Linked DNA regions of Arabidopsis thaliana. The protein of the gene in region 2 interacts with the protein of the main gene of each other region in a pairwise test. Each region holds a gene or a part of one and is shown on either strand. Other genes may lie near its edges. The genes, in order: MYB32, AT1G06170 and DYT1.

Evidence for each region.
Region 1: the proteins of AT1G06170 (region 2) and MYB32 interact in binary tests that used the Arabidopsis thaliana proteins (3 or more experiments, as listed by UniProt).
Region 3: the proteins of AT1G06170 (region 2) and DYT1 interact in a two-hybrid assay, tested with the Arabidopsis thaliana proteins (one study listed by BioGRID).

The regions. Positions count from the first base shown.
Region 1 is NC_003075.7:16,660,445-16,664,541, forward strand, and holds MYB32 (myb domain protein 32), read right to left. Parts: upstream 2,106-4,097; 5' UTR 1,846-2,105; coding exon 1,583-1,845; intron 1,488-1,582; coding exon 926-1,487; 3' UTR 657-925; downstream 1-656.
Region 2 is NC_003070.9:1,884,461-1,888,714, reverse strand, and holds AT1G06170 (basic helix-loop-helix (bHLH) DNA-binding superfamily protein), read left to right. Parts: upstream 1-1,810; 5' UTR 1,811-1,928; intron 1,929-1,990; exon of another isoform or gene 1,991-2,132; 5' UTR 2,133-2,150; coding exon 2,151-2,882; intron 2,883-2,966; coding exon 2,967-3,374; intron 3,375-3,446; coding exon 3,447-3,569; 3' UTR 3,570-3,724; downstream 3,725-4,254.
Region 3 is NC_003075.7:11,348,257-11,351,260, reverse strand, and holds DYT1 (basic helix-loop-helix (bHLH) DNA-binding superfamily protein), read right to left. Parts: upstream 1,340-3,004; coding exon 1,160-1,339; intron 1,086-1,159; coding exon 888-1,085; intron 813-887; coding exon 567-812; downstream 1-566. UniProt on the Arabidopsis thaliana protein: Transcription factor. Involved in the control of tapetum development. Required for male fertility and pollen differentiation, especially during callose deposition.

The DNA.
Region 1 (4,097 bases), on a different chromosome or scaffold from region 2:
TCACCAAAATTTAAGTACAAACTATACATTGAAAGCTAATTCGGACTGTTTACAGAATTCCTCTCCATATTTTGTTGCTCATATAGGTTATCCTAATCTTGAGTTTACATTTTGCACTTTATTATATATGAAAATATCCATCAAGTAGGTCAAAGCAATATAACTCATATATCTATTTTGATATCGTTCAATCTTTGATATATGTCTCAATATACATTTCTTGAAATTTCGTATCTTTAACACTATCACATGTAGAAGAACCTAATTATGCCCACTAGCCTGATACTAAACTAAACTCCAAAGTTTTAGGTTGATGTCCGTTGTTTTACATAAACAAACATTTGGAAAAAACCAAACCACACTAGTTAAGTTCTTATATGTATATATTTGTATAGTTTTGGAAATAAGGTGAGTGACTTTTGTTTAATATAGTGAACAACACATTAATGTGATAAAGACATTTTACCAACACAGTGAATGCTTTGAATTAGTACTAAAAATAATCAAACGAAATATGCCAAAAGGTTGCAATGAATAGAAAACATGTACACTTTCAATCGTTCTCACGCTTCTCATCCTTACACAGCTTATCCACTTCATTGATATGTCCAATCTCTTGGGAATAACCATCGACATACATTTGTCAAACATTGGTTGGATTATCGAGTAAAATTCTAGAAATATACCAAGGATCGAATTTGAATGCATATGTCTTGTCAGCAAAGCATTACACCCATGCGACACTTACAAATGGCGAACATTTTCGCATCTTTTTAGTAGATTATCAAATATGACGACAGATCCTAACAACTATGATATGAATAAAATTACTAGTTATTAGAAAAGTTGAGAACCATGAACGAGTCTGTTAATAGCTTTTATATCACAATTCACAGCTATAAATTGATTAATATAGTATTTCATTTCATTTCATTTCCAAAGTGCTAAAATCCAAAACCCTAGTGTTGTTTAGACCCAAGAAGTCATAACCAATGCTACTACTAATGTCGGTTGAAGAATAACTGCTGCTACTACTGTCCTCTGTTTGACATTTCACATTATTACAGCTACACTCCTTGCCGTTCCCGAATCCAAAACGGCACGCACTGCACCTATACTTCACTCTCCCAAACCTTAGGTTCCTCTCATCATGGAGCTTGTCTTGCCATGGTGGACTGATCCTAAGCTCAAGATTCAAGTCCAGACATCTTTCTTCAACAACTGAGTACTCAACTCTCTTTTGAATTCTCTCGTCCCCGAAATTTGCTATTTTCTCCAGCTGAGGACCAAAAGAGAGAATCTTGACAAGAGGGTCCTCTGTTTTACTAGAATCAGACGAATCTTGAGAAGTTTTGGTCTCGTTGATAGGTCGATGAGTCGCCGGATCAATCCCTTTTCTTAATAGCTTCCTCTTAACATGTGTGTTCCAGTAATTCTTAATCTCGTTATCTGTTCTTCCTGGTAATCTCGTCGCAATAAGAGACCACCTGATAGAAGAAAAAAAAAACAGAGTTTAAAAAACAGAGCTTTTTAACATAACAGAGGATAGTAAAAAAAACAGAGGAGTTGTTTTGTGACTCACTTGTTACCGAGAAGGCTATGTAGTTTGATGATGAGATCATCTTCTTCGAGGGTGAAGTTACCCCTCTTGAGATCAGGTCGGAGATAGTTAATCCATCGGAGACGACAGCTTTTTCCGCAACGTTGAAGACCGGCGGATCTAGGAAGAGAACGCCAACAACCTTCACCGTGAGCTTTGATGTAAGAGATGAGCTTATCGTCTTCTTCCTTAGTCCAAGCTCCTTTGTTTGTGTGGTCTTTCTCACAGCAAGGAGACCTTCCCATCTTTCTTCTTCTGATTCTTGTGATGAAGAAATTAGGGCTTTATGGAGAGACGGTTTGAGAAAGAGAGAGAGAGAGAGAGGTTGGAAGAGGAAGGTGAAGCCTAATTTGTTTCTAGAAGAGAGTTGGTAAGACACGTTTGAAGGAGTGGCTAGTGGGCTCCGTTCTCTTTTTTCTTTTTAATCTAAGATTAAATTGTGTTTTTGTTTGTTTGTATCAAAACTAGAAACTGCAACATTCACACGATCGTGTTCGCAGTTTCAATGAGAAAACGCTATATGGCTTTTATGGTTTTTTCAAACCTGAGTCTAGTTGTCTACTTATTTACTTATTAGCCTAGTTGTAGGTGTGAAACCATAATTATGAATGGCGACATGCGTTTTGTTGGTGATTTTAGCAATAGAAACTGTGATCAATATTTCACATTTCCTAAAGAAACTTTTCAAACTTTACCAAATTTAATCATATTATATTTAAGTAGTTAGATAGGTGAAAATTTGGTTCATCTTGTTTTTTTCTATATTTTAGTTTCATTAATAACGTAAGAAAAAAAAAATCATCGAGTTTGTTCGATATGATTTTATATCGCAAATAATAAATTTGTTTGAGCTAGGGTTGTAAAAACAAAAGTAGAGGATATATTTACATTAAAGTAAATAGTTATAAGGATTTTGTTTTTGGACAAAGTTGGATGGTTTCGTACTGCAACGAATTTAATTCAAATTATGGACATTTATGTTACAATGGAAAATAGTATATATTTGCCATAGTGAGTTTGGTAAGGAGGTTGTAAAGGGCATCCAAATGACCAAATTAAGTATATTCAAATCAGTATAAAGATAAATTCGTTAGAATTTCTAAAGAAAAAAGGAGAACATGTTAGTTTGATAATTTTTTTGGTTAATCAAAAGTTTGGAGGATTAATCTAGAAGACACAAACAAGGTTGGTTTTGAGGGAAAGTTAATTTCATTTTTGGGTACGGTTTGGTGTAGATTTGGCTGCAATATGGGGAGTGGTTCGTGACCTTCCACTTTATCCTACTTCCTTTAAGAAGTGTTAAAACATATCTCAACAAATCGTTTCGTATATATAAGAACTATTCAGATAATGTATCAACCGTTTAAATTTTAATATCCATTTTCTCTTCACCAAAGTAGTGAGATATAGCATTATATAAGTAAAACCTACATCCTATACTAATATTTAGCTACGCGCTATATGATAATTACTTGTGAGTAATTAACACAAAATCAGGAGTTCCTACAATCGGTGAAACCTCACGTGGAGTTTGTAATGTAATGAAAATGGAGAGTGCATTTCTACCTGCTTTCTCCTTCTTCCATTAATGATTTGCCCTAACACGTGACCTTTTTACTTTCTCAACTACCATTTTACCAATCTCTTAATTAATTCCTTATCTTCTTTTCCATCAATTCAAGGTTTCTTATTTATCGTAACGACCAACTAATTCTTAGAAAAAAATCATAGTTTCTTGAGAAACGCTTTTCGTAAGCTAGCTTATCATTTGAATTGATATCTATGAATTTATCCGACGTATCTATGTTCTTGACAAGTTACAAAGACCATGGCCTACAAAATATTCAAGAATTTTGCTGTCATCACGAGCTAATTAAGCTAATATCAGTATATATGAAAATACGACGACTCTAAGAAAAACATTCGTGAAATGCTTTTGTAAATAGGTAAGGGGATATTTTGAAATAAGTATCGATAAAAACATATCGAATAATGATTGTGGTTTTTATTCTTGTTTGGAGTTCTTTATTTGGAAAAGGGAAAAAGCTTTATTGGTGAAAGTTTGTTTGATACCTGAAAGACAATCTTAAAAGAGTTTGGTAGATTTCATGGTGTACATTTACTCTGAACTCCTACCGACATATTTGTATATTTAATAACGAAGAAAATAGAAATGGGATAGAATTGACATGTGATTTGTTATCTACACACACACCAAACAAATCTTAAAAAAATAGGTACATTATACGACTTTTAGAATGTATACAAAGTGCAACATGTAACATATATTTCCTAATTATTAAAAATGTATGGTTTATTTATTTAAACTACTTACAAGTTACAAAACCTTCGTTCTTGCCAAATTTAGAAGACATGCGTTTCTTTCTTTTAGTTTCTTATATAAGTTATTGTTAGGTGATTTCACATTCTGTTAAAATACAGTACACTTCTTTTACGTAACAACAATTCTTTTATGTCAACTTGAATAAAGCTATTT
Region 2 (4,254 bases):
TCATCGACACATCTCATTTTATAATCGATGACTCGGCTTCACGGCTGTGTAGGCATCGCCATCGCCACACATTCCTTTCGCTCACCGGGTCTTATTCTTTTTCTCAAGATTTTCGTAATCTGAATAAAAAAATAAAAATAAAAACTTCACGAGGATAGAAAATGAAAAGAGAAAACATACAATCTATATAATCTTTCCAAGTGGCCGAAGAAAAGGGTGATGAATCCTCTCGTCAATAAGATCAGTAGGCCCAAAAGAGATATTTCAAATTGAGTCGCATCTGTCGGGTAAGTTAAAGCAATAAATAACCAGCCACAGGTAGGGTTTAGGCCCTCTCATCTGGCTCTAGATGACGAAACGTGTTAAAACGCCTACTTCTTGTTGAGGCCCAAAATAAGCCTCATAGGAGAGAAACCAAAAACGTAACTGTCACGATTACGAAACACCCCTTAATTCCATTTTGCAAATGCATCCCCTCCTCACCTTTGTTTGAGATGTTTTTATATACAGCTCAGCTCGATAACCTAACTCGACACCCTCTAAACAAAAAGTTACAAAACGAATATAATAATGTCTTCGGCTGATCCGGTTTAACTGAATCCCAATTCCCAAATTGTAACATACATAACATGAACTTAACCGGACAAAACTGGTTAGCAGAAATTTTCAAGTGAGTTTACGGAAACACCCTTTTCCGCATAGCTTTTGTGTCACGTGGGACCCAGCTAATATTCTTCACAAAAAATCCGCTACCTTGCCTTGGAAACATATTTTGCATGACCCAACAAACATGAAATTAAGAAATACTTTACTTTACAAGGAAATAATACAAATAAAGCCTTTTTATCTTATTTATAATATCATCGATCATTGTATATCAGAATTCAGAAGTCCTAGATAAAATGTTAAAAGTTGAATCTTGTTTGACCTAATAGAAAAGATTCCACTGACAAATTTCTATGTCTATGACTATGATCAATTTTATTTCCTCTATATGTAAAAAAAAACTCAACTTCACATAATATTTTTTGAATGTATCGTTTCTTATTTATTTTTTAAAAAACTCTGCTATTTTTCCAAAAGACAATGCGAAAAAATCTTTGAACGTGAAAGTGAAATTAAGAAAATCTCTATTATAGTCGAAGGATTCAAATCAAGCGTAATATTACCGAGAAAATATAATCAATAGACAGAAATACCCCTAAAGATCATATACCAAAACGGCAAAACCTGAGAGAATCGTGACGGGACCCACGCGAAGAGAGACACGTCATGGAACTTACAGACTGTAACTAACCACCGGCCTGTCTTGCCACAAACAAAAATTTCATGATCCAACCAAAACCCTCGTTTCTAAAAAGGATGTAACTTAAAAAAAAAAATCTCTAAAAGATGCAACTTATAAAGAAAAAGAACTCAAATTTGTAACTTAGGTCATAAAATTACTATTTCTTTTACCAATAAGGTAACCAAATATTTCAATTCAGTAAGATGTATCAAAGTAGGTATTGTCACACATAAAAAAAATCTGAACTTTAACCAAAGTCCAGTCCAGAGTACCACCATTAATTGTTATTGATAAAAAAAAAACTTTAGTTTTCAATTTTTGAATATTACGGTACGAACAAAAAAAAACACTAGCGTTTTGAGAAAATAAAAAATATATTGAAAGGAAAAAAATGTTAGTTGTTGAAATTAAACTTTTGTTCCCCGTTAGACCACAAATAAATAACAGACGTATTTTATTAATACAAAAAAAAAAAGTTAAATGTGTCATCTTCCACTCTTTTTATTTGTTACTCTCAAATTGCAAACGTATAGGCATTTCAAAAAGAGAGACAGAGAGAGAAAAAGAAAGAGTTGTTAATGTTAAGTCTCTTCTTGGCGTGAATTCGGAAAAAGTTCTTCGGAGAATCATCATCAGCCAAGTCGGTAACAATATACCCTTCTCTTACTCTTTTATTCCTAATAACCTGATCATTAGATATACATTACAAGAATTCATCTAAGCTTAGACGATTTTTAAGTTGGTTAGAACAGATTTGTTCAAGATTAGGTTGCAGTTTTCAATATATAATCTAGCAAATCAAAACTGTGTCAATGTTTTCTGATTTTGAAACCATCTTTCTTAGCCCTTTGGACCGGTTTTCATGGGAGGAGGAGGCATGTTTGAAGAAATTGGGTGTTTTGATCCAAATGCTCCGGCAGAAATGACTGCTGAGAGCAGTTTCTCTCCGTCCGAGCCACCACCGACGATCACGGTCATCGGTAGCAACAGTAACAGCAACTGCAGTCTAGAAGATCTCTCTGCATTCCACCTCAGCCCACAAGACTCTTCTCTACCTGCCTCAGCCTCAGCTTATGCTCATCAGCTTCACATTAATGCTACTCCTAATTGTGATCATCAATTCCAGAGTTCAATGCACCAAACCCTCCAAGATCCATCGTATGCGCAACAGTCGAATCATTGGGACAATGGTTACCAAGATTTTGTGAATTTGGGTCCTAATCATACCACTCCTGACCTACTCAGTCTCTTGCAATTGCCAAGATCCTCACTTCCACCTTTCGCAAACCCTAGCATTCAAGACATTATCATGACAACATCTTCCTCTGTCGCCGCCTATGACCCGCTCTTCCATCTGAATTTTCCTCTGCAGCCTCCTAATGGGAGTTTCATGGGAGTGGATCAAGATCAAACTGAGACTAACCAAGGAGTGAACTTGATGTATGATGAAGAAAACAACAACCTCGACGATGGTCTTAACCGTAAAGGCAGAGGATCGAAAAAGCGTAAAATTTTCCCTACAGAACGCGAGAGAAGAGTTCACTTCAAAGACCGGTTTGGTGACTTAAAGAATCTAATTCCAAATCCCACCAAGGTTTACACTTACTTAAATACTAACTTCTTCTTCAAGTAAGAAATCTTCAGAAACTAATTAAACCCTTTTTTCTTATATCTCTAGAATGATAGAGCATCAATCGTCGGAGAAGCGATAGATTACATCAAAGAGTTGCTAAGGACGATCGATGAGTTCAAGCTGCTAGTGGAAAAGAAGAGAGTGAAACAGAGGAACAGAGAAGGAGATGATGTTGTTGATGAGAACTTCAAGGCTCAAAGCGAAGTAGTAGAACAATGTTTGATCAATAAGAAGAACAATGCCTTGAGATGCTCATGGCTCAAGAGGAAATCGAAATTCACTGATGTCGATGTACGTATCATAGACGATGAAGTTACCATCAAGATCGTGCAGAAGAAGAAAATCAATTGTTTGTTGTTCGTATCCAAAGTCGTTGACCAACTTGAGCTTGATCTTCACCATGTAGCTGGTGCACAAATCGGAGAGCACCACAGTTTCTTGTTCAACGCCAAGGTTTGTCATAAAATCTCAATTTAATCCATAGTCAGACACTATTAGACTAACTAACGAATTGTGATATAACAGATTAGTGAAGGATCTAGTGTTTATGCAAGTGCCATAGCAGATAGAGTAATGGAAGTGTTGAAGAAACAATACATGGAAGCTCTTTCGGCGAATAATGGTTATCACTGTTACTCTAGTGATTAAAGCGTTTTCATCTAGCTGGCTTATTACTTTGAATATGGATAATTAATAATCACATTAGTTATATTTTCGTATTATTGTTCTTAGCTTGTAGCTATGCCTCTGTTTTTACTTTTTCCTTGTTTTGGTTTAATCACATATTCCAATCATATCCCTCGAAACTTCTTAGATTGACTTTCTTGATTTTATATGTGAGAGTTCCATCTTTTCCATAATCTAAAACTGTTGTTGTTCTTAACTGCTTAACATATGTCTCGTTGAACTTATTGTTGACTCTTGGTCGTCGGACCAACAGCTAAATAGAGCTGTGCGTTTCGGCTCATAGTTAGTTTTTGGTTGGGCCTTTTCTGGTAAAGCCCAATAGTTTTGTTAGTGTAGCCCAACCAATAAGAAAAATGATTGCTTCGTGTGAGAAAACATCAAAAACATTCTTTTTAAATTATTATTTTTATCAAAATAACATTTAGATAGACATACTGAAACAGATTGTTTTGCCCCAACAAAAAAAAAAAACATAAACGGATGGGTAATAAATATAAAATAAACAAGGAAAACATCAGCAATGACGTGTATATTAATCTGATCTAATAAAACAAAAATCAAAATAATATGATTGGATCGTACATTTTACATTTGTCATTCAAGGTGGATAACAAATACGTCTAGACGGGTAGAACACGTAGTCCTC
Region 3 (3,004 bases), on a different chromosome or scaffold from region 2:
TCGTTTTATTTCATTGAGAGTGGAAACTATAAATTATTTTATATTGTTAATCAAATATGTCGTGGAGTAGGGAAAGTCAGAGATGATAAAGGTATATTATTATTTTTATAAAAAAATAGTTAATAGGTTAGGAAAATGTCTTTTGATTTTGGCTCTATTGAATAGTTTTGATATTTGAATAAAAAAACTTAGGTTTCTACCAACTTCCAACCTTACACAAATGAACATCACTATTCACTACTCACCATTTGGATGGTTGAAATTAAATGGGCTCAACTTGAGAATGGCCCATTTAAGAGCTAATTCATTCTAAGCCCATTTTAAAAAGAAACCCCCATTGCTCGGATCCTAGAGATAATATCTAGTGTTTTCTTTCTTTGACCTCAAACAGAGGATCATGAACATTTTGCAGCAACATATATGAAGACAAGAAGAAGCTCATTGGCTTGTAACACAAACTCTTTTTCATCTGAATCATATCATATTTAAAATGGAACAACAATGTAATAAAAACCAATGGAAATGTTATTAGATCAAGAAATTTCCAAGATGTATATAATTAATACTTATGGATTGCTTCTCATAACTTCCAAAAGAAAATCTTTTGTCTGTTCAACATCACAGAGTTCCTGTGTCTGAACAGAGGCACTAATAAGAATTGCTCCATTTGAAGTTGTTAGACTAATATCGATAATCTCGAATCCGAGAAATCTCATAACCTCCATGAATTTAGTAAAGATCCCATCTCTCTTCTCTGTTATGATCTTTAACCAAAACTTCCTCTCCCCAATCTTACACAATTGCACATTCTCCTGTCCCAAAAATAAAAAATCATCAAGAAAGATAAAGAAAATGAATCAAAAATCGATTAGAGAAATTTTAAAAACCTCGATTCCGAGTTTCTTCATCTCTTCGTTAAGATCACTAGTTTCAACTTCAGGTTTTATCATTGGATCCGTTTGTTCTTCATCAATCTCAGGAGGAGCTTCTTCCATTTCATGAAATGTCTCTAAGAGATTCTTAACATTGTTTTGAAGCTCTCCTATGTAAGTAATCGCATCTTCAACAATACTTGCTTTAGTCATCTGAAAACGAAACAAAAACAACAACAATCATCACCAAAATACCCATAAAATAATAATCGAGATTTGGGACTTACGTTGGTGACAATGGGGACATGAGATCGCAGAGCCATAAGCCGACAATGAAGCTTCTCTCTTCTACGTCTCTCTGCTTCAAGATTTGGAGATTTGAAGTTTTCATCTTCTTCCTTCTCTTTTGTTACTTGTTTCCTACGGCTCATCCTCACTGGTTCTTGAAATCTGCTTCCTCCACCCATTTATTTCTTCTTCTTTGATAATTTTTCAGACAAAAGTGTTTATATTCTTATTTATGTAATGGTGGTAAAAGACATGAGTTATATAGTTGCTTCTCATGTAGATAGAAGTCTGTTAGTGGAGAGAGAATAAAAGAGAGAATCTTAGTCTCAGTTTGTTATTAAGTGAATGTGATTTCAGTTAGAGTCAAATACAGAGACTAAAATAACAATTTTTGTTTTCATTATAGAGAGAAAAAACAATTTATGACGAATTGAGGAATCTTCTTATTCAAGGGTTCAAAACACGAATCCTTACAGACAAAGGAATGGTAACATTTCGAGTCCCATCAGTCCAAGTGAAACTACCAAAGAAAAAACCAGTGTTACTCTTATGACTCGACGAAACCCTAACTTTAAACCCAAGTTTCTTCGTGTTCGAACAGAACACTAGAGTCTCTGGTTCAACAACAATCTCCACACCTCGCGGAGGCTCGACCACGGCTCTGTAAACTGAGTCCACAGGTCCAACGTTAGTCACCGTTCTTGTGACGGTCACTTCTTCTTCAAGGTCGGGAATCGTGATGGCGGGATAGTTAAGATCGAGGATAGACGGTAATGGAGACGAGCATTTTGTGGGTTTTCCCGTGATTATAGTGATTGATGTATCGTTGTAACCAGTGGCGCAGAAATAGTGAATGTAATCGTCGATGTTCATGTCATAAACTAGTCCTGGATCTTTGGCTCTTTCCGCGTTCACGAGTCCTGCACCGTAGTCAAATGGATCAGCCAGTTTCCGTGGTTCTCCCTCCGCAAAGATTGGTTCCCCGGATGGATCAGTCTTCCATGCTATAATAACAAGAGAAGAAACTCTGGTAAGATTAAATTAACGAATGGTGGTTTTCTGGTGAGGAGAAGAAAGTGGTTTTCCATTTTCAAGAACCTGTAGTCATAATAGCAGATTTTAGCGCAGCAGGAGACCAGTCAGGGTGTAAAGCTTTGAGTAGTACGACGAGCCCCGCAACAACGGGAGTGGCATAGGATGTCCCTGTGCCTAGAAAATAACCGCCGAAAGAATCGGGGTAGGCTTGAGATGTAGCTCCTAAAATCGTCACACCAGGGGCTGCTATATCAGGCTGCATCATTTATAAACCCAAAGAAATTTCCATCATTAACAGGTGATCCTTAAATTGGAAACGACAGACAAGATTTTGAAACACTGTTTAGGGAAAGAACCTTGAGAATGGCAGGAGAGAGTCCATTAGGCCCTCTAGATGAGAATCCGCAAACTTGAGTCGCAATAGGACGTCCTACGAGCGTTTTACCAGTACTAATTTTAATCGTGGGAGAACTGAAGAGACCGCAAGCCATAAGAAGATGATCAGTTTTACATACTCTATGTGACTCGGAAGGATGATCAATCACAAAAAATATAAAATAAAGGATAGTATACCTTGACGAGCGGATGTATCGTAGAATCTTAGCTCCGACTTCATAGTCTACGTAGATGAATGGTTGATTATAGACAATATCACTTTGATAATCACCACTTCGTGCCACGATCAGCCCCGCCGCCTTGTTGATAGTTGTAGTCGCCAATGCGCTTGCCATTTCCCAATCTTCTTTCACAAACGTCAGGACAACTTTTCCCAGCATGCTAGAGGTGTCGGTTTTATAGTGTTCAATGTA